4 linked regions of the Diceros bicornis minor genome follow. The protein of the gene in region 1 interacts with the protein of each later gene in a pairwise test. Links are inferred from orthologs where the notes say so. Each region holds a gene or a part of one and is shown in the gene's direction. Other genes may lie near its edges.

Region 1 (7,680 bases):
GCTATGGTTAATTCATAGGTTAATGTCCCAGTGACACCAACTGCAAATACGTTTTCCACAGCCACGCAGTAAAAATTCAATCCTAAACTTCTAATTTTTGTATACTTTAAAAAGTATCTTCTTGAGGGCTGTCCCTGTGGCATAGTGGTTAAGTCAGCCATGCTCCACTTTGGCGGTCTGGGTTCGTGGGTTCGGATCCCAGGCACAGACCTACACCACTCATCAAGCCATGCCGTGGTGTGACGACCAACATACAAAATAGAGGGATATGGGCACAGATGTTAGCTCAGGGCTAATTTTCCTCTCACACACACAAAAAAATACAGAAATGTTCAAAGCCTCTTCCCCATTCCAACTCCTTCTGATAGACATCTAACAGTTTAATGTTACGAGGCTGGCCCAGTGGCGTAGTGGTTAAGTTCGCATGCTCTGCTTTGGCAGCCCGGGGTTCGCTGGTTCGAGTCTCAGGTGTGGACCGACACACTGCTTGTCAAGCCATGCTGTGGCAGGTGTCCCACATATAAAAGAGAGGAAGATGGGCACAGATGCTAGCCCAGGGCCAATCCTCATCACCCCCCCAAAAAAAAATACATCCTAACATGTATATCATGTATAATATTCTGGATCTTGCTTTTAACTCCACACCAGCACTATGGATTGCTATGTGCCCAGCACACACAATTTATCTCTTGTTTCGTCCATATTACTGCCTAGTATTCCATCCATCTTAGATGCCTCTCTCCTCTCGCCAGAGAGTAACTATTTTCTGTGCTCCCTCAGTCATTGCAAACATTTCCATTGTTGAACCTACTGCACTTGAAGCCAGGTACCTGAGGGTTACTGTAAATATTCCATAAGAACATGTTCCCAACATGTTCCGACCTCGTTCCCAATACAGCCACAGATGAAAAGAAGTTAATAAATAACCTTAGTCTCCACTAGATGTATTTATGGAGTCCAAATGCTTGCTCCATGGCATGCACGTAATTATAGCTTGCTAACTTGCTGTTTTCTTGTCTAACCAAAGGGGTGACTCAAGGGTCATGAGAATTTATGAGCTTATTTTGCAGAAGTAAAAGAATGCCTTTAAGGAATTCACGACCACCAGATGACCAGACCCCAGCTGCCGGTGACACCAAGAAGTCTGGTTGCTCAAGGTCTTATCTGAAGTGAAAGAAACACAGACTTCCTCTTTGTTTCCCTGAAAATCCTCCTTGCCAGCCCCTTAGCCCTGTAAAGATCCCCTGTTTTCTTCTTTTGTTAAGGCAGATCTGAGAGAACTTGCTTTCCTGCCTTCTTGTTTTGGCCAATTCCAATAAGCCTGTCTCTATCTCCAAGGACTGGTGTCTCAGTGATTGGCTTTTCCTGTGCACTGGGCACAGGGACCTGAGATTAAGAGGTTTGGTGTCACACTCAATCTTAAATTATTTATTTTCATGTCTAATTCCTTTACCAGGGAGTGAAATCTTCAGAAGCAAAAATTTGAGTCTAGAGCAATCTTTTTACTTCTTTAATTTTAGTTTTTATTTTAATCAGAGTTATACACGTCTATGATTTAGAGTCAAACAATTCTGTAGAAACCTTGTAAGTTTTGCAATGAAACAGCAGAGACTGTATCTCCACTCTTCCCCTTACCTGTTTCCCCCTCCTCAAAGGCAGTCATTTCACCTCTTTCAATGGTTATTTTGATATTTACCTTCATTTCTCTATATAAAATGTTTGTATTGCTATTTCTTCATTTTTCACTTTTAGGCATTGCCTATTGACTTCACCTAATGGAAAATGAGGATTTAGCTCTTCTTCCTTCTCCCATCTGTTCCCCCACCCCCACCACACTTCCCATCCCTTTATCTGCCCGATATAGTTATATTGTACTTTTTTAAAAAATAGATTTGTGTTTACTTCATTATGACTAGGTAAACATTGCTCACATCTTGGGCAAAATAGTATACTATGATTACTTCTCTTCTGCTCAGCTTTTTGTTTTTCCTGTAGTTAATGATTATCTTATTTTGGCTTACTATTCATCACTAAGCCAAGCTCAAACTTCTTTATGATCATTTAAATCTCTCCCTCCAGAGATTTAGATAGATAGGTGTTCTATCAGTTTCATCTTTCTGAAGGAGTCTCTTCTGGAACCTTCTAACCTACACCAGTTGATGTCTAGTGCACAGTTGTTGTCAGGGTATCATACTTCATTTTTCTCCCGTGTTGTATCTTCTGTTTCCTATAGCCTGTGTTTTCTACTTTCTTTGTTTAGTCCCTCATTTTAATGGAGCACAACTTCCAGTAGCTTCCTGAGAAAGAAGCAAATGAAAGGGAAATTTTTTGAAATCTTGAATGTCTGAACATACATTTATTCTTTACCCACACTTCATTGGTAGTTTACTAATCAAGTACAGAATTCTAGTTTGAAATAAATTTCCTTTTGAAATTGTATAGAATTGCTCCCATGTCTTTCAGCTTTCTTTGTGACTGCTGAAAAACTGAAAGATATGCTGATTCTTGATCCTTTGTTAGTGATCTGTTTTTCTCTCTGGAAGCTTCAGGTTTCTTTTTGTCCCCAGTGTTCTGTAATTTCACAATGATGAGCCTTTGGGGTGAGTCGACTTTTTTTTTTTTTTTTTTTTTTTTTGTGAGGAGATCAGCCCTGAGCTAACATCCGCCAATCCTCCTCTTTTTTTGCTGAGGAAGACGGCCCTGGGCTAACATCTGTGCCCATCCTCCTCCACTTTACATGGGACGCCGCCACAGCATGGCTTACCAAGCAGTGCGTCGGTGCGCGCCCGGGATCCGAACCAGCGAACCCCGGGCCGCCGCAGCGGAGCGCGCGCACTCAACCGCTTGCGCCACCGGGCCGGCCCCTGGGGTGAGTCGACTTTTATCCATTGTGCTGCAGACTCAGTGGGCCCTCTCAGTCTGGAAACTTAGGGCTTTTAGTTTAGGGAAATTTCCTTGAATTGTTTTGTTGATGCTCACTCCTTCCCTAACCCCTGTTGTTTTTTTCTTATGGAATTCTTATTTTTCAGATTTTGGACTCCCTGGAGTGGTCCTCTAATTTATTATTGTTCTTTTCCTGTTTTCCATTTTTTTGTCCTTTTGATTTTTTTCCCTAGGATATTTCCCAACATTTATCTTCGAACATTTTCATTGAATTTTTCATTTCGGATATCATATATTTTGTCTCTGAACACTCCTTTTTAAATACAGTAGTAGTATCCTGGGGCTGGCCTGGTGGCATAGTAGTTAAGTTGGTGTGCTCCACTTTGGAGGTCCAGGGTTCACAGGTTTGGATCCTGGGTGTGGACCTACATGCCACTCGTCAAGCCATTCTGTGGCAGGGTCCCAAATACAAAATAGAGGAAGATTAGCACAGACGTTAGCTCAGGGTCAATCTTCCTCACAAATAAATAAATAAATTACAGTAGTATCCTCTTATTATTTTATGGTTGCAATGGTATTTCATATCTCAGGATATTGATTTTATATATATATAGTCAATCTACAAAAACAGAAACCAGTTTAAGAGGCAAAGCATTTATTTGGGATCAAAGAATTGCAATTTGGGAGCACAGATTCAGGTAGAAACTCAAACAGTGTCCTGATTATAGAAGAGGGCTTAGGGTTTTTATGGGAAAAAGGGAGGAAAGGTGAGTTGTATTAAAGAAGAGTTCATTGGTGCTAGATAAGATAAGGCTGGGTTTGTACTTCATAGATTGGCCTGAGGTTCAATCATCAGACAAAACGCTAAACTTGTACTTCATTGATTGGTTAGCGATTTAGGCACCAGCAAAGTCCAGTTCCACCAGTTCTTACAGACAAGGTATCCTTGTCCTTACAGACTTCTTTGGAATGTTGGTGGTTTGGTCCAGTTCTGAAGATAAAAGAAAACAAGCCATGCAAGGCAATTCCTCTGAAATGGCTGCTCTGGCTCTGTTTTAATATGGCTCCACTCATGTCATCTTGCACAATGCACACACAAGTTTTCTCCCCACTGAACGGTTTCTGTTTCTTCTAAGGGTTGCCCCCACCCCCGCTACTTGATTTAGTCTCTATGGTATCTCCTTTCGCGTTTGTTTTTGAAGTTGTCAAATCCCTGGGTGCTCTACCTACCCCTTGCTGGCTGCCAGGTAACTCTATTCCTTCTCCCTGGCAAAGAACAGGTGTTTTGGGGTCTCTGCACTGTGCAAAGTGCCTCTTAGATGCCGAGTCCTTTTCCTCGATTCAGCTCCCAGAACGGTTACAACCAGATCTGGACCCTCCACGCAGGCAATTGGAGGGTCATCTCTAGTTGAATCTGATAAGCCTTAAAAGAATGATCCAAAGATAACGACATTGGAAATTCCCCAAGTAAACAGCCCGACCAAATTACATTAAAGCTGATCAACAAGCCCCCTCACACTCTCAGAACGTCTGGGATATCATCTAAAATACAAATGAAATGATTCATATTGAATTTCTGGTGTGGAAGGACAGATACCTTCAAGCTCCATCATTAAGGGCCCCAACGAGGAGAAGTATGTTTCACCGAGGTTGAGAAGGATCGCCCCCCTCTTCCGGAGCGGCCGACGTCCCCCGGCCGGCAGGGGGAGCCACCGCGCACGGCCAGCGGCGGCGCGGGCAGGGCCTTTCTGGGAGGAGAGGAAGAAACGAGAGAGACGGCGAGAGGAAGTCGCGGTGGCACTCAGCTCCGCAGTCTCCGAGGCGGAGCTGGTGCTGGTCGCTGGCGGGAGCTGGACCACGCAGCCACGCTGGCTGCGCATGGAGCCGAGGACTCTCGCAGAGGCGGGATGCTCCCGCCCGGCGAGATCGGCGAGGCGTCGGCAACCCCGGTGAGGCGGCGCTGGTGGCCCGGGGAGGGGACACTGGTGGCCCAGTGAGGTGGCACATCTCCTAGGGGAGACTCTCTTGGTGAGGTGACCCTGGCACCTGGGGACGTGGTTCCCGTGGCCCGGGGGAGGTGGCCCTTGCAATCCTGGTGAGGTGGCACAGACCTCCCAGGGGAGGTAGTCCCTATGCAGTGGCTCCGGCGACCCCGGTGAGATGACACAGATCTCTGTGGGGAGGTGGCCCTGGCGGACGGGCAGGATGGCAGTGGTGGCCCCAGAGAGGTGGCCCGTTTTAGAACCTGCGTCAGACGGCCGTGGCCCTTCACGAAGGCCCCAGGGGAAGGGGCCTGGGACCTCGCAGTCCTCCAGTGGATGCCCTCTGGGAGCCCTGTATGAGTTCCATCTACCACTTCAGTCTTAATGTGTTTGTCACGCCTCTTCTGCTTCTAGTGCTGCTCTGAAAGTGGTGAGGAAAGGAAAAACGTCGAGGAGAAAAGTAAGCGACCCCAAACACCTTAGTGCTTTGTACCCAGCCATCTCGCCAAAACTCAGCCTTCCAGGGTCTGCATCCGAGAAGAGTCTTAGCCTGTTATCTTTTAGATGAAGTATCTTTTTTCTCTACAATATGCTTGCATTTACTGATTATCATTATACACATATTTTTGTCTTTCTAAAATGATAAACTATGGGATGATTTGGAGAAGAGCACTTCCTGACTCCTGCCCTGTGCAAGAACTAGTGTGGTTTTACTGGAGTTCTGCCTGTCAGACTGGCTTCAAAACAATTGGAGCCTGCCGGTTATTTTAATGAAGCAACAATTTATTAAGCATCAGGATTTGGAGGGGCTAATGATCTAGGAGAGATGACTGCCTCCTTAATTGGGTTCAAAGAAGTCAAATGATAGTTGTTTAGTTGTACTTTACCTTCAGTGAATTTGCAATTAAAGGTTGATCTGGCAAAATCGTCCCATTTGCAACAACATGGATGGGCCTGGAGCATATTATGTTAAGTGAAATAAGCCAGAAAGAGAAAGACAAACACTGTATGATCTCACTCATATGTGAAATATAAACCAACACATGGACAGAGAAAACTGGACTGTGGTTACCAGGGGCAGTGGGGGTCGGGGGTGGGGGGTGGGCACAAGGGGTGAAGGGAGTCATGTATATGGTGATGGACAAACAAAAATGTACAACCCAAAATTTCACAATGTTAGAAACCATTAAAACATCAATAAAAAAAAAAATATATATATATATTAAAAAAAAAAAAAGTTGATCTGGGAAGAGCACAGAGGATAGCTTGGATCCTGGGTCTTGGACTGGACAAGGCAGAGGGGAAAGGTCAGTACCTCCAATTCCTGCCTAGGACAGGAGCGTATGTCAGAGATGTGGACATTTGTCATTTTACTTTAATAAGCTAGGCATGGCAGGCTTTTGGAAATCAAGGAATCTTCAGGGGCTTTTGAAGTGAAATTTATTGGGGGAGGAAGGGGAAAAGCATGTAACAGCTATGCCATCAGAGGGTTATGGGATCTGCTGAACGTGACAAATAGTCTGGGAATGAGTAGTGGTAAGAGAAGGGTGTCTACATTACCATATTGGATTTAGGAGTTGGGCTTGCCCCTCACGTTGTCTACTGATACCATCGGCCTCAGAGAGAAAGCTCTGAGTAGTCCACAGTACTTGACAGTCGTAGCTGCCACAGTTCAGCTCCTTTTCCTTGGAGGATTTGAGAGTACCCCATATCTTTCAGTGAAACCCCTCCCTTTTCCACCTTTACCTTGTTCAGATGCTCAGAGAGTTGATGCCTACTGAGCTGTCATTTTAGTAAAATCATAGATGCAGACTGTAGACTTTGTCCTTGTCCTTCCTTTAGTGGCTTGTTCAACTTCTTTGCAACTAGGAGTGCTCTTTACAAATAATAGAGAAAAAGAGAGACATAAAAACATCCTAAAACACCAGTGTGTCATTTTGAAGAATGTCATTTGATAAGGGTTATATCAAAAGAGTATAATTAAAAATAAAAGTGAACATAGAATTTACTCCCTAAGCTACAGCAACCTTAGCATTCACAAAACATTCCTTCTGCACATAGCCCTGTTTCTGTGTATCTGCAGGTGCACCACACAACTCATTTTATTTAAGATAAATAAATAAAGACATTGTGACTCCGGTGCATAATAGTAGATGGATTTCTGTATCAATGAAGTTTGATGCAGACCAGCCAATTCTGCTCATATTTGAAGGAGAAGAAAATAAGAATATTGGGTTGAGAGTCAGGGAAACATGGATTTTAGTCCCATTTACAACCTTTAAATGTAGGCTGGGCAAATGTTATAGTTTATAGTTGGGAAGTTGAGGCATAGACTTATGCTAGTTTTGCTTCTACCTACTGGTGGGCTACTAGTTCTTATATGAACAAGCTTTTAATTCTTATAAGTTGACTAGAACAAAGGAAAATTTGTTGTTTAGGGGTTGAGGAAGAGGAACATACCCAGTATTAAACACACTGGTATATATTCTATTAATTTTTACGTAAAGAATTGAACAATATTTGATAGTTACATTTTGCATTTAGGCATATCTCTATTTAGATAGTCATATTTTCATTTTAGCATAAGTGACAGTTGTTTTAAACAGTTTTATTTATTTATTTATTTTTTTGTGAGGAAGATCAGCCCTGAGCTAACATCTGTGCTAATCCTCTTCTTTTTGCTGAGGAAGACCAGCTCAGAGCTAACATCTATTGCCAATCCTCCTCTTTTTTTTTTCCCCAAAGCCCCAGTAGATAGTTGTATGTCATAGTTGCACATCCTTCTAGTTGCTGTATGTGGGACGCGGCCTCAGCA
Region 2 (7,379 bases), on another chromosome or scaffold:
GGACCCTGATAATGGATGAATTCAGGCTGACAACACTTGAATCCACTTATCAATCTTAACTTTATGAAAAGTAGAACTATGATGTGCTTCAAGACATGATACAGTAGGAACGAGACAGAGGTATTTTTGTAAAAAATATTGAATCTGAATCTAATCAAATCTCTAACTCTAACTACCAGATTATAAGAAACAGGGGATAAAGAAACAAGTTAAAATAAAATTTAAAAAAAAGAAGATACAGGGGCTGGCCCGGTGGCGCAAGCGGTTAAGTGCACGCGCTCCGCTGCTGTGGCCCGGGGTTCGCTGGTTCAGATCCCCGGCGCACGCTGGCGCACCGCTTGGCAAGCCACGCTGTGGCAGTGTCCCATATAAATTGGAGGAAGATGGGCACGGATGTTAGCCCAGGGCCAGTCTTCCTCAGCAAGAAAAGAGGAGGATTGGCAGATGTTAGCACAGGGCTGATCTCCCTCACAAAAAAAAAAAAAAAAAAAAGATACAATAAGCTAAACCCCAAATGTGGGATATTCTAATAGAAAAGGAACCCAATCTCTTCAATAAATAAATGGCCTGAAAATAAAAGAGGGGTGAGTGAGAATTGTTATGGTTTAAAAGAGGCTTAAGTCATCTTTCTCTTTCAGTTCCTTTCCTTTTCATTTTCTTCCAGAACAATTCAGTCCCAAAGTCATTTGGTGGGCTGAATGAGGTAGGCATCTGTGTCGGTGAGTGGAGGGGAAGTAGCTCAGAGCACAAATGGGTTGAGAAGGGTGCTCATGTGGATTGAGGGGCCTCTGGAACATGGGAATCAGGACCCAAGCAGGGTGAGGAGTGTATCTGTGTGGGAGGATGGCCTGGTTCAGGGTGTTGGAGCCTGAGTGGGGTAACCTGGCACAGGATTTCAGGGTTTCAGAGGGGTGAAAAGGGCATCTGTGCAAGAGAGGGGGGTGGTTATGGCAACAGATACTGGTTACATACTGGATAATTGATCAAATAAGTTAATATATTAAAGATAATGGGAATTAGGTTTATCCATGTTGGAGAATGGAGTTACAAATGTGGAAATGAAGAAAACTAGAATGAACTCTGTGGTATTGAATTGGAATTGGAGGTATCTGTATGAACTCATGGTTTCAATATATATAGACATATATAGAAGTATAGTCATTTATGTGTGTCTATATCTAGATCTTTGTCTGTATCTATGTATCTTTCCTCCTAGCTCTGTCCATCGAAAGGACCTGGGAGCAACAACACCCCAATGTTAATGAGCATACCTAGTGTCCAGATCTTGGCTTTGACAATTTTGAACTTAACCTGAGCCCTGTGCTCCTGTGCTCTTTCCTTACCAAAGTCTGGATTTTTTTGTTTGTTTGTTTAAGCCGAGGAAGACTCCCCCTGAGCTAACATCTGTTGCCAATCTTCCTCTTTTTGTATGTGAACTGCCACCACAGCATCGCGACTGACAGACAGTGGTGGAGGTCTGCATCCAGGAACCAAACCTGGGCCGCCAAAGTGGAGCACACCGAACTTAACCACTGGGCCACTGGGGCTGGCCCTAGATTTGTTTTTTATTTGACAGTTTCTAAATACCACCTTAAACAAAAATAAACCAGGGATTCTTGGAAAATGGGCTGATTCCAAGGCTTGGGCAGAGAAAATACAAAATGAAACTAGGTTATCTTCTTGTACTAGCAAATAAAGAAACACTCAAAGAATATGGAGGCATGTGAAAAGGACACAGAAACCAGCTTGAAGGGGCTCTCCCTGGCTAAAACTGGGACAATTTGTGCATCAAATAAATACTGATAACAATGTATTATTATCTCACTGAATAAAAATATGAATCTACTGAATAAAAATAGAAATCGAGTCCATATTGATATAAAAATAAATAATTTGAAAGTCTGATGAGAAATTTGCATAGTTTCAAAAAACTGCCTCACAAAATACTTGCTAATTACAAAGGGAAAAGGAGTAATCTTACAGTGGAGAAGTTTGGCAGATACCACTTTAATTAAATGATCAGAGTAAATATCACTAGTAATGAACAAATGGAAATTGTGTGTTACCTGATAGGATGCAATGAGAACACAGTCACATTTCTGTGACAGTTCTGCCCAAGATGGCTAACCTGAATCTAACCACAAAGAAACCTCAGACAAACCCAAGCTGAGTGTCATTCTATATCCTAACTGTCCTGGAATCTTCATGACTCTTCTGTAGTTAGTTGTGGCCATGTGATCTACTTCTGGTTCATAAGATTTAAATGGGAGAAAGTGGAGTAGGCTTTACCAAAGTCATCATTGTTCTACTTAAAAATGGGGTAGGCTTGGGGCTGGCCCCGTGGCTTAGCAGTTAAGTGTGCAGCTCCACTACTGGCGGCCCGGGTTCGGATCCCAGGCGTGCACCAACGCACCACTTGTCCTTCCATGCTGAGGCGGCGTCCCACATACAGCAACTAGAAGGATGTGCAACTATGACATACAACTATCTACTGGGGCTTTGGGGAGAAAAAGGGAAAAAAGGAGGAGGATTAGCAATAGATGTTAGCTCAGGGCCAGTCTTCCTCAGCAAAAAGAGGAGGATTGGCATGGATGTTAGCTCAGGGCTGATCTTCCTCACAAAAAAAAAAAAAAAGGGAGTAGGCTTAGCTGGCATACACTTTTTGCTCTATGACAATTCCTATGTCTTAATCGATGACATATGCAGATATGGAAGAACGAAACGCACTCTTGCGACTATGAAGACTTGAGTTACAGTCTAAGTGTTACAACGCAGAAAAGGAGAAACAACCTGTTTCCTTCAGCAACTGCACCAAGCCTGGACCAGCTACCTTCAGGCTCCTTATTACATCACCCCTTGTTTGATTAAACTCTGGATTTCTATTAGGTGTGGTCAAATGCAAACTAGTCAAAACAACTTGCTTTTCCCTTATTTTTCTATATCACCCCATCTAGCTCCCCTCTCTGATCCCAACATTTTTTTGTTGGCAATTTTACTGGTATTGCATTATATTTGCAAATTAATTTATGGACAATAGATTTCTTTATGATGTTGAGCCTTCTTCAAGCACATGCTATACCTCTCCATTTGTTCTAGTCTTTTGTGCTGTAAGTAGGGTTGAAAGTTTTTGTCATATAATTTTGCATGTTTCTGCTATAATCACTATTTCTTTTTATTTGCCCCATAATTGACGCGGGGGGGGGGGAATGATGTTTTTCTGAATCCCAAGAGAATCTGAAAGACTTTAATGCCATTAGAGTTAATTATGACATAATCAGTCAAGGCACAGTTAGTGGGTTAAATATTTCAAGGCCAATTCGTAAATTAAAATTCACTTTTCTGTAACAAAAATAAGAGTACATTCTATTTTGTATATCAAACGTGTAAACACTGCATGCTCAGAGTTAAGATTTTCATAGATTAGGTAAAGTAGAAACTCCTGGGAGAGCTTCTTGCAAACACAAATTCAGTTTTATGAAACCTGAAAAGAAAGCGTATTTACCTGTCTAGTTTATGTTAACTCTTTTTAATGTCATTAAAGTATCTAGTTTATAATTATTGTCCAGTCTTCTTTATCTTTATGATTATAAATGTAAGCTCAGTGTTTTATACTCGCAAAGCACTTGATCAGTGCTTCAGAATGTCTTACTCAACATGCAACTTAAAGTTTTATGTTTGGGAGAGAGATTTTACGTTTGTATCATAAAACAAAAAAAAAAATCACACAAATAAATCGGTAATTGCACACTGTAATGAATAATGCTTGGATGGATAAGTACGAACATATAATATGAGGTCGGAGAAAAAATAATGTGAAACAACAGTTTAAATAAGCACGGATAAATTATGAAGTATAATGCAAAATTCACAAGACTTTCTCATATACTTAAGAAGTAGTTCACCAAAGCAAAACACCGACTCTTCGAAGCAATTTTGCCCTCCTGCTAGCTTGCACAGCCTTTCTGGCCAGCCTCCCTTCAGCCCATTTCCCCAGCACAGGGAAACTTTGGCGAGAAGGGCACTTCGGTAGAAATCTTTGAGAGGTACGGATTTAACCTTTATGAACTTCTAATTTACTCTGGTGATTTTAAGAGGAAATAGGTGAGAATGCCGTTAGTATTGCCCAAAGTGCGTAATAAATGTACTGTGACATTAATCTTGCTCGGTGCGATCTCAATATACGAAGCTGGGCAACTCCCGAGTTTGGTTTTCAATTATCCTTTAAAACCTGGAGCTGAAGGGATCACCAGAACATTAAGCAACACTCAGATCCGCGCATGCTCTGTTAATGGAGCAGCGCCCCTCCAACCACAATCGGAAGTCTCCGTTTGTTTATTAAATTACGACAGTCGTAAACAGATTTCGTGACGGCTTCCTCGCTTTACGACGACAGCGACTATGGCGGCTGCGTCCGGTAGATTTGAAAGTGCGAAGGGCATCGAAGAGCGTAAGGAACACACCCGGATTGCTAGGGCCGAGGTGTTGCGCCAGGTACCTCCGTTTTGGGGCTTTTGGAACCATTTAGAATTGTGAGAGGGGGGTTCCTGGGAGCTAGGCCTCTGCCTCTCCTCCCTTCCCGCCCCCTCTCTTCTCTCACCCCCTCAGTATCTCACCTTTATTTGGGTGCGTGGGTGGGGTCTCCCTTTGGGATGCCCGTAAGCTCTTGGGTACCTCCCACCTCCTAGGTGCTCTGGCAAGCTCCGGTTGCTTACACTCTTTTTCAGGAAGGCTTGTTTCTTTCTTCTGAGTTTCTTTGCCTTTTAAATCATCCATTCTTGACATTTCTGGCACCTTATCATTTGGGCTGCGCACTTTCCAGGGACGCCGCCGCTAATACCGACTCTCCTAGCATATTTCATAGCCTCAGTCCTCGTTTTTGCAGTATTTGAAATGAAATTTTCCGTGTTCAGGAACTCATGTAAGGAGCATTGGAGTAGACTGTGTTTGACCGTTTTATTCTTCTGTTTACTATTGGTATCAATTTCAGGCTTATTGTAAACCCTTACTGGTCAAATCAAGGATTGATGCAAGAGAACCAGAAAATTTAGTCCCCTGAAAAATGTTGGGAAACATCGTATTTCTCATTGAGATTGAGATACGTATAGGTAACTTATAAAGAAAGGAGGAAGTAAACTGTACTGAATTATTTGACAAGATGTAAGAAGTATGGCAACGAAGGAGAAAAGTTGTAGTTGGAGAGAAACATATGGTATAACAAGTGAGGGTTTTTATTTTTGCTTAAGATGGAAGAGTTTAAAACGAGTTTAAATGCAAATGAAAAGGAGCTGGTAGAGGAAACAGGAAGGAGAAGGCATAATGACTACAGCCAGATTTTAAAGGGGAAGAGTGGGCTGTCGGTCTTGGATAGGTGAAAGGTTGGTATTGATCCCTGATTGTACCATATTTAATATATAATAAATATTCTTCATCCTTGTCTCTTTGATATTTCAGGTGTTTTTTTGGAGTGGGGTTTGTAAGCTGTGATAAATTTTATAGTAGAGCTATGCATAGAGTTTGAGAAGGACCAAACCCAGCTTTGGAGTTTGGGGAGAGAATGAAAGGGCAGGAACAACCTCCTAGGAAGAACTTACTTTATTTGACAGTTGTTGAAGGTTGAATAAAAGTTAGGAATATAATCATTTGTTTTGAGAAAGATGATTCCTTCTGAAGCATTTTGGGAGTGTGAGTAGAGGGGTATGGGCATTGAGGATTAAAAATGTGCAGGTCAGTCTCCTAACATTTACAAAAGTCTCAGGCAGTAGCAGTGGGATGGTGAAGATAAAAGAGATTCAAGTTGTATTTAAGGTAGGGGGCTTAGAGAGAGAAGAGGGTCTGGAATAGGTCCCAGATTCTGTCCTTGATTGGCGGCTGAATTCACTAGAGATTGATAATATGATTGGTCATGTGGAACGAGAGATTTTTGTTTTTTAAACCTTTATACTTTGGTAGAAGCACATTCCTGGCGAGGGACAGACAATTCATTCATGAGCCTTATATGAAAGTGAAAGTTTTTGTTTTACTTTTTGTGAAAAGAGATTGGATCAGTTGTTAATTTTTCTTTTTTCATTGTTTTAGGCTAAAGCCAATTTTGAAAAAGAAGAAAGGCGTAAAGAACTTAAGCGACTTCGGGGTGAGGATACATGGATGCTACCTGATGTGAATGAGCGAATTGAACAGTTCTCACAGGTGAATACTAACATGTTTACCTGATGTAAGCATGTTTGTCTTTTTTTGTACTTATTCAAGTTAGTATTGGAGGAGCAACTTTATCGACTATTTTCACAAGTTTCAGAATGAATATCCCATATGGGCATTATTGAATAGTTTTTCTGGCATAAATAATTTTAATATTGTGGGCATTATGACGTTGGAAAGATTTTGTTACTTGAATTGGCAGGTAGAAAGCTTAGCTTCAAATTTCTGGCCCACTTGTAGCAAGCTTATGTGTCTAAAAAATTATGCATTTTAAACTTAATGTCTTTTTTTTTTGTCTGAATCCTTGTTTTCTCTTCCTGTAATTTATGCTATCTTGTTATATTTTATATGGTTAGTAATCTGTAAATACTTTTGGAGCCCTAGAAAGATATGTACGTATGTATGTTTATGTTTGTGTGTATATGTGTTTATTTGATTATATCTGTCTGTCAGATGTATCTACAAATAAAACTAAAACTTCTCTCATTTTTTTTGATAAGAAATCTCAGCTATATGACTTATTAGTAGTGCATATGTTACAGAAGCATGTTCAAGTTTCTTAGAAGATTTTATTTAGTTATATTCCTTGTCTCATTTCATGAAAGATATAAAGTTTTTTGGAACATAGATCTTTTTTTCCCTTAAAATATTTCCTTTTAAAGTAAGCTAAAACTAAATTCCTTTCTTACTCTTCAAAATGATTATAGGAACACTCTGTGAAGAAAAAGAAGAAAAAAGATAAGCATTCAAAAAAAGTAAAGAAAGAGAAGAAAAAAAAGAGCAAGAAGCAAAAGTATGAAAAAAACAATGAGTCAACTGATAGTTCATCAGTAAGTATGTACTAAAACTGACCAAAGCAGCTACTTGAGAAAACTGTATTTAAAGGAACAATGTATGGGAACTTAAAATATATGAGAACTTAAAAAATATTACCAGTTAGGGTGTGAAAATACCTGGGAGACATCTACTTGGAGATGTTCAAGAAATATTGGAAATAAGGATCTTAGGTTACAGAGAAAGGTGAGAGGATGGAGGTATGATTTGGGAATCACTGCTCGTTGAAGCCAGTAGAATGGATGAATTGCCTAGGGAAACTGAAAGGAAAGAAGAACACTCAACACCAAGGAGCTAGACAGGAAGTAAAGGACACTGAGTAGAAGTAGCTGGAAAATTAGGAGAAGCAG
Region 3 (7,356 bases), on another chromosome or scaffold:
ATTAGGTTGTTTTTAAAAGGGCAAGGTTCAGGCAGTTTGTTTATTTTTGATGTACAGGTATCCTCGTGTTTTACTTGGTTTTAGCATATGATTTCTAGTTGTTGGTTTTTGTGTAATTGTTTGTTTTTTTTTAAGAAAAAGCTTTGTTCTTAGCTTGGGAATAGTCTGATCTCTTGTGTTTCATGTTTCACCTAAGTCATAAATAAAGGTAATGTTCTAAAAAATAAAAGTATAATACCAAAATAAACTACTTAAAAGTTTTTGAGTGACTAGAGTTTAATTTCCTGTAATTACTCAGCTGAATTTTTGTTGTACTGACTGCACGTGACCATCCTGAGGGGGTATATGTTACGGGAAGAAAATATTTTTGAAATGAGTATTAGTGATTTTCATCACCTTATGAGTAAACTAAATATCAGAACTTACATTGCCTCTTTTTTTTTTCCTATCCCAACTTCTCAAAGTAGCAGCTTCTTATCAGGTGAGTTTTTCTTACCACTCAAAATTATAGAATATGAAAATAATCCAGACACCATTTAATTTTGTGGATGATTTCTGTAGGAAAACAGCTTTTGAGTATAATCTTGAATAATCTCTAATTTTTGAGTCTAGTGTTATTAGTATTATACCTTAGATAAAGACATTTTCCCTATTGTTTTTGAAGATTCAACTCTTGTAAAGTAGCCTGTGCATAAGTTAATTTCCATGTTCTGTAAAGAGAATGTATTGTATTGGAGGAAACACTGGATTTAGTCTTGTCCCTGCCTAATTAACTGGAGAAATAATTCCATTTTGGGCATTATCTTTTGTCTATAATATGAATGAGACCATATTAAGTTTTTCCCAACTGAAAGAAACTAGTTTTCATTTCTCTGAAGTTTTGCGATTTCCTTTCACTACCAGTAAATGCTTACTGTAAAGTTCCTCAGTAAAATAAAGAAAGAGGAGGATACTATACTCCTATTGACTTTTCACTGGGAGTTCTAGTGTTTTTTCCAGGATATAGAAGAGGCCACTGGATGGCAAGTGGCTTCCAGATCAATACAGTAACACTGTAAGATTTACTAGTAGATCTCAATGTACTGTCTGGAATCTGGAGCCTTGGACTAAATCATCTCTCAGGTTCCTTCTGACTTTAGTTCTAACATGTGTCTAAAAGACATGACATCGTTGAACAAATATTAATTAAAAGATCAGAAATAACCTGTTTTTCCCAGTAATTTTAAGGCAAATTTTATGTTAGGTACCAGAGTCTTGAGCCCCTCCTAACCATTGTTAAAGACCAGCTAAGATATTAGCTGAAGGAGAATTCTTAAATTTATCGTGTTGACACTTTGCTGGTGCTTATCTAGTTTTTTTGTCCTTTGAAAAAGATGCTATATTTATTCTCTCTATAACAGCATTTATACCATCTCATTTGGGGAATTTGAAAGACATGCACAGTTGTTTTCTCTTAATATTTGATGAGTGATGCTATCCCTCTTCAAGAGAAGATTTTTGTTTTTAGCATCTTCTTCATATCTGGAAATTATAATTGCTTCATAATGTAGTCATCAGAAGTGTGCTGTGAACAAAGCACCTAAAAAGGACAAACTCTGAAAATACGTCTATGTTAAGGAGGAACTTCTGGCTTAATTAAACTAAACTTGTTAAATTGTTAGACAAATGAGACATATTTTTCAGTTTGTCATAAATTCTTTTAGGGTTGAAATTGTGAAATTACCTCATGGTAAGATCTCTGTGCCCAGGAATAACATCTAGAAATCTCAAAGCTTTTTATTCACTGTCTGATATCCTTTCAAAGCAGGGAGAGGGATGCTGTGGGAAATGCAATAGCTATTATTCCACAGTTAATAAGTTTGGCAGAGCTAGAAATAGGCTGGTTTTCCTTCTAGTGCAATTTTCTGAATGTTTGTCCCTTGGTACCTACCACTCGGACTGGCTACAGTTATACACATAGAGTACTTCCTTATGACCTTGCTTTCTATTTGCAATTCCACCCTATGTATGTCTTTTTAGCTATTCATTCTTCACTCATCCCACCTAGTGGATTTGTAATGTAGTGTGTATCACTTCAGTATCAATAGGGTGCATGTTATATTAGAAGTTGTATACAAGTCTGGTGTGGTGGTCAGTGTAGTATTTGTTCCACCCTTTGCTGCCTTCCCACGGGACAAACACACTAGCAACCTTGGTGTATTTTTCCATTCCCTTATAGATCAATGTGTCAATTGGACAGTTTGGTTGAGCAGCAGAATTCAGCCCCACCACCATATAGGATTTACCTGGCGCAGGCTATGATATGACCCACGCTTTGTTTATGCTTACATTCTGTCCATGTTCCGTGCCAAAGCCACAAATTGGTGCAGGTTATATCTGTATTCATTCACCTGTGTGCTTCAACAGCAGTCATTTGTATATGACTGGTTTTGAATAACTCTAATACTTTCGGTGACATTTCCAATCTGTTACAAGTTCTCAGGATAAGAAGTACAATGTCTTCAAGTAGCTGCTCTTTGGTCTTATCCTCTAACTTGAGCATGGCAATACAGACGGTTTGAATAAATCTGAACATACTGGATAACCTTGGAATATTTGCTCATAGATGACCAACCTAGCAAGTGACTTTGAAACCATACTTTTGTATAGTACTTTACAATCACCCTATTCTAAGGTATTATCCCCATTTTACACATGAGAAAACTGGCCTAGACCAGTTAAAGAAACTCATTGAAACTCACATAGTCTCGTAACTTGAAAAGCGTTAAGTTCAAGTCCAGATTGCCTACTATGTTAAATTGTCAATAACTCTGGGCACAGAGAAATCCAAGCAGTCTGACCCCCAAACCCATGCTCTTTTTCTTCTTTGGCTATTTGTGATATAAGAAGGGTTCTCTTTAATAAAAAATATTATTGACTGGGTAATATAATTATGTGGTTCAAAATTCAAAGGGTACAAAAAGATATACAGTGAAGAGTTTTTCCCACCCTCGTCCCTCACTATTCGGTTCCCCTACCTGGAGGCATTCACTTACTACTTGTTTGTATGTTTTCCCAGAGGTATTTTATGCATATACAAGCACACACATACATATATTCCTTGTTTTATACTCAAATGGAAGCATGCTATATACATTGTTCTGCACCTTGCTATTGCACTAAATATATTTTAGAGATTGTTCACTAGCAGTCCATAGAGAACTTTGTCATCGTTGGGACTGCTGCATAGTTTTCCACTGAGTGGCTATATCATATTCATGGGCATTTGTTTCCAATATTTTTTTATAAACAATGTTGCAGTGAATAGTTTTATATATGATGTGTATATATATATGTGTATATATATATGTACACATACACATATATATGTACACATACATACTTGAGGATACTATTCATAGACAATGAATTGCTGCTCTAAAGGGAATATGCATTTATCTCAATTGTATCCTCAAGTTCCCTTCGGTAGAGGCTCTACCAATTTTTGTTCCTACCAGCAATGTATTGAAAGTGCCTATTTTGCCACAATCTCAACAAAACAAGCATGTTCTCAAACTTTTGGATCTTTACCAATCTGGTAGGTGAAAAATGTTATTTTAGTGTACTTTTAAAAAATAAACTTTATTTTTTAGAACAGTTTTAGATTTCCAGAAAAGTTGCATGGAACAAACTTCTATATATCTTCACTCAGTTTCCTTTAGCGTTAACATCTTACATAGCTCTGGTATATTTGCCATAACTAATGAACCTTATTATTAATGAAAGTGCATAATTTATTCATATTTCCTTAGTTTTTACCTAGGGCCTTTTCTCTGTTCCAGGATCCCATCCAGGATACTGCATGACATTAGTCATTGTCTCCTTTAGTTCCTTTGACTGTGACAGATTCTCAGACTTTCCATGTTTTTGATGAGTTTTCAGGAGTGCAGGTCAGTTATTTTATAGTCAGGACCTGAATACATATGGATTTCTGATTCTCAGGATAGGAAGTACAATGTCTTATAAGCCTCTGTTACAGATAGAGGAGAACCATCAGTGCAAGTGATGTGGTCAAACTTGTCTGATCACTCTGCCTACACTGCGGAGGACGGCCCAGAGGCTCGATTGGAAACATCACATAGGCCGGATAATAAGTCCTTGAAAGCAGAAGCAAGGTTGATAGGGACATATTCCAGAGAAATTAGAAGAGCCAGGATTTGGTGATATTGAATGAGAGAGTAAAGAAGTCATCTAAGTTTACGAGCTGGATATTTTGCCTGTAACCTCTACGAGAAATTCAAGAGAAAATACTTGAACAATTTACAACATACCGGTTACTCAATATGTACTTTCTCTTTTCGTTTTTTGAGCGCTGCCCTACTACAATTCCCAGAGCCTCGCACTCTACCACAATCCCCTTAGAGTCTGCCGCGCAGAGTTCTGGGACTTGAAGTCCGCGGCCTATTTACCCAAGTTAGAGATAGGGGCCTGTGGAAACATGAAGAGGTAAGGGCTTGTCTGAGAGAAGGCGGCGAAGGGAGCTCTGTTCCACCTTTTAACTTTTAAAATGGCTTTTATTACTTTGTGTTTGGGGTATGTCACGTTCTCGGGATGCGGTTTCGTGTGAACGGGAAGACAAAGGAGGAGGGAGGAGGAGAGGCAGGCAAGACAGGCCTGCAGGGTGAAGTTCCGGAAGGGCCGCCGCCGCTGCCGGTTCCCGTAGGAATGCCCTCCCGGCACAGGTATCTAGGCCACGGCGCCGGCCCCAGGAGCTGGACGGATGCTGTGGCTTCTTCCCGTTTCAGACGGACCCACCCAGGTAAAAGGGTCTTGGCTAACTGATGCCCAGCGCCGGAGAAACCCAGACCAGCTCCGCCTTGTCCCGCCCTACCTCGACCTCACCCTCAGAAAGGGGCTCAGGGTGGGCGCATCTATTTGCAGTGTTTGTGTACTAAAGAAGACTTGCTCGAGCCCGGAGAGCATGTAGCGCTTTCAGGTCTTAACGTAAGCAAGTGGTACTTTGTTTCTACAAATTTAGCAGGAAAGTACAAAGCCGGTTCGATGTATTACAGGAACAGAAACACACTGCTCCGAGCAGTTCCCCCTACTGGTTCTGCAGGAAATAGCTTTAACTTGGCTGGTCATTGTTGAAAGCCTGACCTTTACAATTACTGACAGTAACGCAAAGCCTTTTTAAAGGAACCTCATTAAATTAGTTTTGTATTCACTCTGCAAGTAGAATAATCACTGTGGAATAGGGCGGAGCATTTAAAATTCTTACTGATACTATGCTCTCCTGCACTGTCAGTTTCTGCATCTTTTAAAAAAACCGTTTCTGATTTTTCCTGCCTCAAAATGACTTAAAAATGTTTATTATGATATATCTCATACATGAAAATAATGTATATATACAGTTTAAAGAATAATAATAGAAGTCCCCTGTGTGCCCCTTCCATATTGCTTCTCCCTCCCTTCCCCCTGAGGGGACCACTATCCAGAATTTTGCACTAATCATTCCCTTGCTTTTTTTTTTTAAATAGTTTTCCTACATATGAATTTATCCTTAAACAAAGTGTTCCTATTTTTATCCATTTTTCAACTCTTTATAAATGGACACATGTTGTATGACTTTTTTGTGCTTGCTTTTTTTCACTTAACATTTCTTTTTGAGAGTCAAAGCCACTTTAAACGTAGCAAGCACTTTCAGAATTGTAGATAATAAATAAAAATTAAGATACTTAAAAGGAATTTTTTAAAACCCTGGGCCTAAGGATATTTTAAAGTTTCCCAAAATAAGCCTAAGTCTTTCTAGAGCATGGGAATCTTGCTTATAATTATGGGAGATACATCTTCTAGGCCTCATCTTAACCCCAATAGTAAAGGGCTATTTTATAAGGAAGGTGTGCATTGTGTGTAAGTAGGTATTTAGTAAATGTTTGTGGAATGAATGATAAAGGGCAACACATAGTTAGGGAAATATCTTTGAACAAATGAGGTCACTAATGGTAGATAATATAGATAAAGAATATATTTTGAGATTTACTGTCTCTTCTACTTTCTGTATATATTCTTATCTCTACTCCAGGGTAAATAGCTGTGTGAAGAGTGATGAGCATGTCCTGGAGGAGTTGGAAACAGAAGGGGAGAGGCAGCTGAAAAGCCTCCTTCAGCATCAACTTGATACCTCTGTCTCCATTGAGGAGTAGGTATTGATTTTGCAGACAAGTAGAGTATCATAGCCCCTCACCTTCAGGTGACAGACCCCTCTTAAAGCCTGGATGGAACACTCCTCTCCAACCCCCCTTTTCTTGGCAAACTTATACTTATTAGGCAGGATTTTGCTTCTGTGTCTCTTACTCTAGGATGCCTCCCATATCCCACTAAGTCTGGGCTAAGTGCCTTTCCTATGTCTCCCCTTAACATACATAGCACTTCTAACCCAATATTATCATTGCCTCTTTACTTGCCTCTCTTCCACAAAAACAGAAACCATTTTCATCTTTTTTACTGTTAAATCCTCAGTACCTAGCACAGTATCTGATGTATAGTAGGTACTCAATAAATAAATAAATATTTGATTCAGTCATTTATTAGTCCTGGAAGAAGGGATTATTGACAGGTTCCATATCGTTGCAGTGCTGCTTCAGTCTAGAAGTGGGACATGAGAGAGAAATTGCCAATGAGTTTCATTGTGCCTCTTTTCGTAGTGAGCCCCATTTCTGTAAATTATGGTAGCTTGAAGATTTTCTTAGTCTCTCCTTGCTTGTTTTGCAGATGCGTGTCTAAGAAAGAGAGCTTTGCTCCTGGTACTATGTACAAGCCCTTTGGGAAGGAAGCAGCTGGGACAATGACTTTGTCCCAGTTTCAGACACTGCATGAGAAGGACCAGGAGACTGCTTCTCTCAGGGAACTAGGGCTCAATGAAACAGAAATCTTGATCTGGAAGAGCCATGTTTCAGGTGAAAAGGTGAGTGGGGCAATTTTTTTCTGGAGAATAAAGAACGAGAGCTCTTCATTTGGCACTGAGAACCTTTTCATTTTTAGTTCTCACAAAACTGAGCTTTGTGTCTGAATCTATGGTTTCTAGGATAGGGACCTTGGTAAAAGAGAAGCTGTTCCTTGACTTCTTAGCTAACATGTCTGTAAACGATCATTTCTGGGCTCTGATCATCTTCTTTCTTATTTGAGGCATCAGATCTTCACTTTCAGGGTGTGTCCTCTATGATATATGCTGTCTCATTTCTCTGGTTTCAGAGGGCAAGACTGAGGGCAACTCCTGAAGCAATACAGAACCGTCTTCAAGATATTGAAGAAAGGATCTCGGAGCGTCAGCGCATCCTTTGCCTGCCACAGAGATTTGCAAAGAGTAAACAGCTG
Region 4 (6,552 bases), on another chromosome or scaffold:
ACAGGGAAAGTACACATTTCACACAGCAATGCAACACGGGTTCATCCTACTAAACCTACTCACTTCTGAGCTTCCCAGTCTGAAGAGGTGGTGACCAATGGATGTATCCTCCAAGGCAATACTACCTTGTGGGATCAAGATACGCTATCAGCTTGCCTCTCTATCTCTGTGCTCTCTAATTACAACAGCCTGCAGTCCGGGAAGATGGTAAGAAAACTGAAATCATAAGCTGAAATGGTATTTCTAATCACCTACAATACTTCTCCCCCCATCCATCTTCCATCCTGTTAATAAAATTACCTTAAAGCAATCAAATGCTTTTGCTTGTATATTTCACAAGGAAACACAAAAATATTCTTTCAAAGCCATAAAATACACAGACAGTAACTAGCCAAGGATGAGTCAACACTGAAGTAGACGTGGAAAAGGATACTGTTTCATGACTTCTTTATACTTCACAGTGTCACGAATATCTGGGGGGATAAAAATTAACTGGAATTTAACACATGAAAAACAATACAGTTTGAGACCCTACACCTATAATATCCTCAGGGAACAGGCCTCTCAAGTCATCTCTGCTTCCTCTAAGGAAAAAAAATAAGTTTCTCCCTTGGCATCTGAGTCACTTTTAAATCTTTTTCCTAAATTTTGAAGCTAAGATCATTGAACTGTGATAGCAAAAGAAGCAAGATTGTGAGAAGAAAAGAAGGGTAAAAGGTGCCCTATAAGGACTTTCCCTACCAGCAAGAAACTGAAACTAGCCCTTTAGGCTTATCTTGTCAGCATTCTCTTCTACTGATTTCTCCAGCTTCATACTAGTTACCTTTCTTAAAAGGACAATGCCAAGTAACCCAGGAAGAATGTTAGGTTAGCAGCTCTCAAGCTATGGCAGAGATAGTCTGAGACAAGGAGAAAAGCTTTATACAACTTAAATACCTTATCAGTGACCACTCGCATGGAACAAGAGAGCTAAGTCAAGAAAAAGGGTTTATTTCTTACTAATCACATACTGGTGACAAAGGTAACGCAGACATGATTTTTAAAAAACAACTAATCTGTCCAGTAACATCAAACTAAACCTATCTACCAGTCTGTAGACCTACCCCATAAAGTATTAGAATTCCATCCTTTAAGTGAGAAATGGGCAATTTTTTCTCAAACTCTTCCCAAAATGATCTCTGCTTCTTAATACAAGGTCTTCCTTTATTAGTATGTTTAGGGTGCAAGGAGCTTAACAGGATTAAGAAGAGACAAGGAGGGAGATGATCAGCATATAGTGATAGCCTGGAAATCAGGAAGCCCAGATCCTATTAAGAATCATGACACTGGGGCTGGCCCGGTGGCTTAGCGGTTAAGTGCGCGCGCTCCGCTGCTGGTGGCCCGGGTTTGGATCCTGGGCGCGCACCGAGGCACCGCTTCTCTGGCCATGCTGAGGCCGTGTCCCACATACAGCAACTAGAAGGATGTGCAGCTATGACATACAACTATCTACTGGGACTTTAATGGAAAAATAAATAAATAAAATTATTAAAAAAAAAAGAATCATGACACTGGATCACAACCATTCTAATTCTTTTTTATAGTCACAGATTCCTTTTAAAGTCTGATGATAACTGGGAACCTCTCTCCAAAACAATGCATATTTGGATATACACATACATTTTCCCATGTAACTTTGGGAGCAGAAGCAAGGTTCCTACAGATCAATACATGAACTACAAGAACCCTTACACTATAATTAAACTTTGAGAAAAGAAATTAAATAAAAAAGGTTTACATATCAGAGCCTGCTGAAGGGTTTATGGCCTAGAAGTGAGAGGACTGACTTTCTATCACTTCATTTTCCCAAACAACAATAGCCTGACACCCTAGTGTCAAAAAGAGGGAAGAGATAAAGGTGAATGGTAAGGAAACAAATTTAGGAAAGAAGAGAGAGTAAACAAAGAGAAAATGTGAATAAGGGAGAAGCCTGTTTATGGATTCTAGCAAATCCACGGGAAGTGAAAGTAGATAGTTCAGAAAAAAATGAAAGCATTGACGACTGGCAGGCTGGAGGCTTTCCATTCTGTGAGGCACTACACAGAGTTCTATACAGTTTACTCACCAATATTGGCAGGAAAGGGAACTTCATGCACAGCTGGGTCCAGGTTGATCACATAAGGTGGAGAGCCTTGGCTATGCAGGTGTCCTGTGAGCCTCTATAGAGATATGGGGAGAGTGATGGAGTAACACAAAGAGGGCATGATAAGGGAACAAGAGAGAACTTACATTCTTTTATGGCCCACAAAGACTTTTGCACTTACATTTCCCTCTACCTGAAATATTCGCTCCTGATGTCCACCTCCAATACTCAACTCTCAGTTGACATGTTACCTTTATTTATCACCCATCTAACAGAGCCTCCCCGACTCTCGATCACTTATTATTTTGTGGGTTTTTTTTTTTTTTTCCTATCTCTCCCACTAAAACGTTAGCTCTAAGCGGAACCTTGTCAATCTCATTTTCGCTGTATCCCCAGTCCCTGGAACATGGTAGGCGCGCAAGAAATAATTCTTTAGCCAATCTACACCGGAAGCCTATGTGCTAGCACTGTATTAATCGTCAGAGTTACTTGCAAGCCTCTGCCTTTGAGGAGTTGGCAACCTTATCGGTAAGACAATTCCAGTACAACGTGGTAAGCTGTACTAAGTATGCACTGAGGGTACGCGGAAGAGAGCCTTAATTCACCCAGGCTAGAGTCTGAGAAGGCTTCGCCGAGGAAGGAACTGGAGTTGCTGGCAAGTCCCCGAAAGCCACGCGCTGGTAACCTCCAACTCCACAGAAAGACCTCCCTTTCTCCCTGACCTTCCGCCAGCCACAGATAACCTCTCGCGCGCCCATACTACGCCCGCGCCGTGTAGGTCACCTGTACAAAGGTGGTTTTCCCAGATCCCGCCATTCCCAACACCAGGAGACACACTGGGGGCTGAGGACCCCCGCAAGCCTCCGGCTCAGCAGCAGCTACGGGCGCCGCCATCTTTCTCCTGGCTCCGCCCACGTTACCATAGAGACGCCCGTGGCTAGAGAGACTTCCGCGACGCTCGCGGTTGAGAAGGATGGAACCGGACTGTCCCGATAGGGAAGGACGAAGGGGCGGAGTTGACGCCAGAGCCTCTCTTGTTCCGACCCGGCTTGGGGGCCAACTAGTGACAATGGCGGGGAAGTGGAGACGCTGGGAGGAATGCTGCAGGGGGGTAGAAAAAGAGGAGCTCACGGTCGTAGGGTACGGCTTGGGAAGGGCCAAGCTCCCGTCCCTAGGAGAGCGAAACCAGGTGGGATCCCGAGGGCAGGGCTCCCACAGTACGAAAAAGAAGAGCGTGCGTTTCTCTTTGGGCCCCCAAGGAGCGGGGAACGGAGCCTCCAGAGAGGCGGCTGCTAGGGCTTATTCGGCAGCCGCGGAGGTTAAGCCGCTCAGGGCTGGGCCGGCCCAGACTGAGGCGACGTGCGACCCCATGGGTTGCTGGGCAGCGCTGAGACCCATTGAGCATAGAATGGAGAAACTGCTAAAACGTGCCCCCCGGGTCGCCGTTTTCACGTGTCGCAGGCCCCTGACACTAGCGCTAACTCCTTGGCAGTCACGGTCAGTGAACTACACCATGACCTTGGGGATGAACGCTCGGATTCCTGGCCCAAGTAGGTACTGAAGGGACGCTCCCCTCCAAGGCAGCGCCCGCGGAAACCCGCAAGGTGGTGAAACGGAGAAACTTATTCCTACTGGCGACCGCCCAGTCTGTTCCTGTGGCCCTTTGTAGCTTCTGTAGTGTTCAGTAAGTCATAAGATCTGGTGTCACACCCAGGCTCTGCCACTTGCTAGTGGTGTAAATCGTGGCGAAGTCACTTCAATTCTCTGAACCTATTTTCTCCTCTTTAAAATTGAAATAATACTTAACAGGGTTGTAGTGAATGCATATTGTAAATTGTAAACTGCACTCCCTCATCGTTGCCCCTAGTTGTTTACCTTGCCTTGCACACTGTCAGGAATATAATAAAGGCGCTCAAAAATATTTTCTTGTATGCATTAAAGTACAATTGGGCATTTTTTATTGTTTCCTAAAATTCCGTTCAGAACTGATGGGGGAACGTTGCTCTTGTTCTTCCTTCAGGTTTGCTGAGGACTCGAGTAGTTCCCCTCCACCGTATCTTAATTTAATAAATAATTTGGTCAAGTCAGAGAAGCTAACAGACGCAGAAATGAGGTTTAAAGAAAAGATAGTGGTAGAAACTATGAAGCTGAACAAGCAAATAAAACAAGCTCAAATGGAACAAGAATGGCTGAAGGAGGAAACGAGGCAGCTACACGCTGAAAAGTTACTTGTCCAGGCTGAAAACAAATTCTTTCTGGAATACCTGACCAACAAAACTGAGGAGTATAGAAGGCAACCTGAGAAACTGTGGAACAACTATTTACAAGAAAGTGGCGAGACTGAACGAAGGAGGCAAGAATCAGCCTCCAAATATGCAAAACAAACTTCAGTGCTTAAAACAGAGCTCTTGGAGAAGGAAAAGATCCATTCCAATTTGAAGCAGCAGTTGCAAGCATTGAGGGACATTTCAGTATTAAAGGAGAAACAGGAGAGAGAAATGCAGACATTACAAGCAGAGACAGCTGCAAAGAAACAGGAAATCCATGTCCAGTTCCTCCAGCAAAAGGCATTACTGGAGAAACAACTGACTGAGCCAGACATGAGTCAACTGGGAAAGAGAAGAAGAAAGGAGCTTAACAGGAAGACCCAGCCCTTGGAGTTGGCAGCAAAGCAGTATAATTTTGAGTTCTACCGTGACATCAACAGAAAGAACCAGCAGTTAAAGAAGGAACTACTGCAGTTAAATCAGCAATGCCAGGAGTTGCAGGCCACACCAAGCCAGTTAAAAAATCAGAAGCAGCAGCTGCAGCAGGAGCAGTGGTATGTGGAGTGCTTAATGCCGGGGAGGCGACGACTGCAAGGCAGGCACAATGGTGCCCAAAAGGTCAGGGTGCTCCAAAGACCACACCGACCCCTCCCCTAGGCACGAAATCAAGGATTAATCCAAAGTAATTCCTAAAATAACACTGATTAAGTAAGGACCAGAGCAGGTATTCTTAGGTGCCACATAAACCTGGTTAGGAAGACTTTTGGATCTCAGATTGCTATGGCAAAATATCCGTCGTGATGTGTTAGTGTGAAGGATTAGGTGCTTTTTTCCAGCAGTACTAGATATTAGTGTGACTGGCTACCCTTAACTAGGTTTTTCTTTAATTAGCTCTTGTTAATAAACAGGATGTTCCTCAAACCTCCAGATAACCTAATACCATATGCCAAATATCTGTACATTAAACTAGCTCAAGAAAGCCACCTTGAGGAAGTGAAAGGAAAACAGTTGGGTGATTTATTTCATCTAGCTAAGTTAGATCTCTTTATAGAAAAAGCACCATTAAGGGTAGCATTTCAGATTGACTATGTACTGCTTCCTGCTCTGTAAACAACCAATATCAGTTTATCCTCATTCCTTTAGGCCAACTCAGCACACAAAGGCAAAGTGTTTTTAAGTTTTTTTTAAAGTTTGTGCCAGTGACCAGGTAGCTCCTTCTGTAGTTTTCTCATGAGTGAAAAAGTACTCTAATAACAGCAAGTTCAAAAAGCAGTGGGCAGGATGACCTTTTGTCTGAAGCAGCCCCTAAAATTTTACCTCTGAGTAAATTGAGAAACAAAGATAAAGGGAACGTATATTAGGTCAACTCTCACTTTTGAAAATGTTTTCTGTAAAGAAATATTTCCAGTATTAATGAGGTGACTGAATAGCTCTGTTTCAGGAAATTGTATCAAAAGAAAATTTAAAATTATTTTTTAAAGAGTTTTGTGCCATCTATTTCCCTAGCAACATCCTGAATTCTAAGATGACAAGATTATTTAATGTTAAATATAGCAAGTACTTTAGTTTTAGGTCACTTACTACATTTTCTTACTATATGTGCACTTAATAGTACACGAAATGCCTTTTGTAATTAATATATGCCATATGTCTTTTTGTGTGCGTGTGCGTGTGTGTGTGAGGAACATCAGCCTTGAGCTAACATCCAATGCCAATCCTCCTCTTTTTGCTGAGGAAGATTGGCCCTGAGCTAACATCCGTGCCCATCTTCCTCTACTATATATAGGATGCCGCCACAGCATGGCTTGACAAGCAGTGCATCGGTGCACGCCCGGGATCCGAACCCGCAAACCCCGGGCCGTGGAAGCGGAGCACGCGCACATAACCGCTACACCACTGGGCAGGTCCTATTTACATCTATTTAATACAACTAGGAATAGTATTTTAAATTAGTATAGATTTTTAGGGTAGTAATATTTTTTGCACTTATGACATATGGTTAGATCAGTGATTTATTTGAATGCTGAATCCTAATACAGGAATATAACCCCATATTTTAACATTGCTCCTCTATGGGGAAAATATAATCAACTTTATGTTTTCCAGAAATTATTAGTGATGAAAAACTTCAAAATAATTTTCCTGAATTTTCAGTTTTATCCA

What was found.
Region 2: the proteins of RINT1 (region 1) and CWF19L2 interact in binary tests that used the Homo sapiens proteins (3 or more experiments, as listed by UniProt). The two-hybrid records come from large-scale screens. The link is inferred for Diceros bicornis minor from reciprocal best matches to the Homo sapiens genes RINT1 and CWF19L2.
Region 3: the proteins of RINT1 (region 1) and RBM41 interact in binary tests that used the Homo sapiens proteins (3 or more experiments, as listed by UniProt). The two-hybrid records come from large-scale screens. The link is inferred for Diceros bicornis minor from reciprocal best matches to the Homo sapiens genes RINT1 and RBM41.
Region 4: the proteins of RINT1 (region 1) and coiled-coil domain-containing protein 121-like interact in binary tests that used the Homo sapiens proteins (3 or more experiments, as listed by UniProt). The two-hybrid records come from large-scale screens. The link is inferred for Diceros bicornis minor from reciprocal best matches to the Homo sapiens genes RINT1 and CCDC121.

Annotation. Positions count from the first base shown.
Region 1 is NC_080742.1:12,722,151-12,729,830, reverse strand, and holds the start of RINT1 (RAD50-interacting protein 1), read left to right. Parts: upstream 1-4,680; 5' UTR 4,681-4,790; coding exon 4,791-4,832; intron 4,833-5,279; coding exon 5,280-5,325; intron 5,326-7,680. UniProt on the Homo sapiens protein: Involved in regulation of membrane traffic between the Golgi and the endoplasmic reticulum (ER); the function is proposed to depend on its association in the NRZ complex which is believed to play a role in SNARE assembly at the ER.
Region 2 is NC_080746.1:28,177,037-28,184,415, forward strand, and holds the start of CWF19L2 (CWF19-like protein 2), read left to right. Parts: upstream 1-4,368; 5' UTR 4,369-4,398; coding exon 4,399-4,491; intron 4,492-6,075; coding exon 6,076-6,186; intron 6,187-6,902; coding exon 6,903-7,025; intron 7,026-7,379.
Region 3 is NC_080781.1:99,876,031-99,883,386, reverse strand, and holds the start of RBM41 (RNA-binding protein 41), read left to right. Parts: upstream 1-4,353; 5' UTR 4,354-4,477; coding exon 4,478-4,485; intron 4,486-6,064; coding exon 6,065-6,181; intron 6,182-6,753; coding exon 6,754-6,946; intron 6,947-7,233; coding exon 7,234-7,356. UniProt on the Homo sapiens protein: May bind RNA.
Region 4 is NC_080751.1:55,294,740-55,301,291, forward strand, and holds coiled-coil domain-containing protein 121-like, read left to right. Parts: upstream 1-3,942; coding exon 3,943-5,046; 3' UTR 5,047-6,047; downstream 6,048-6,552. Other genes in the region: GPN1 (GPN-loop GTPase 1), read right to left, coding at 434-473, 2,105-2,198, 2,906-3,016.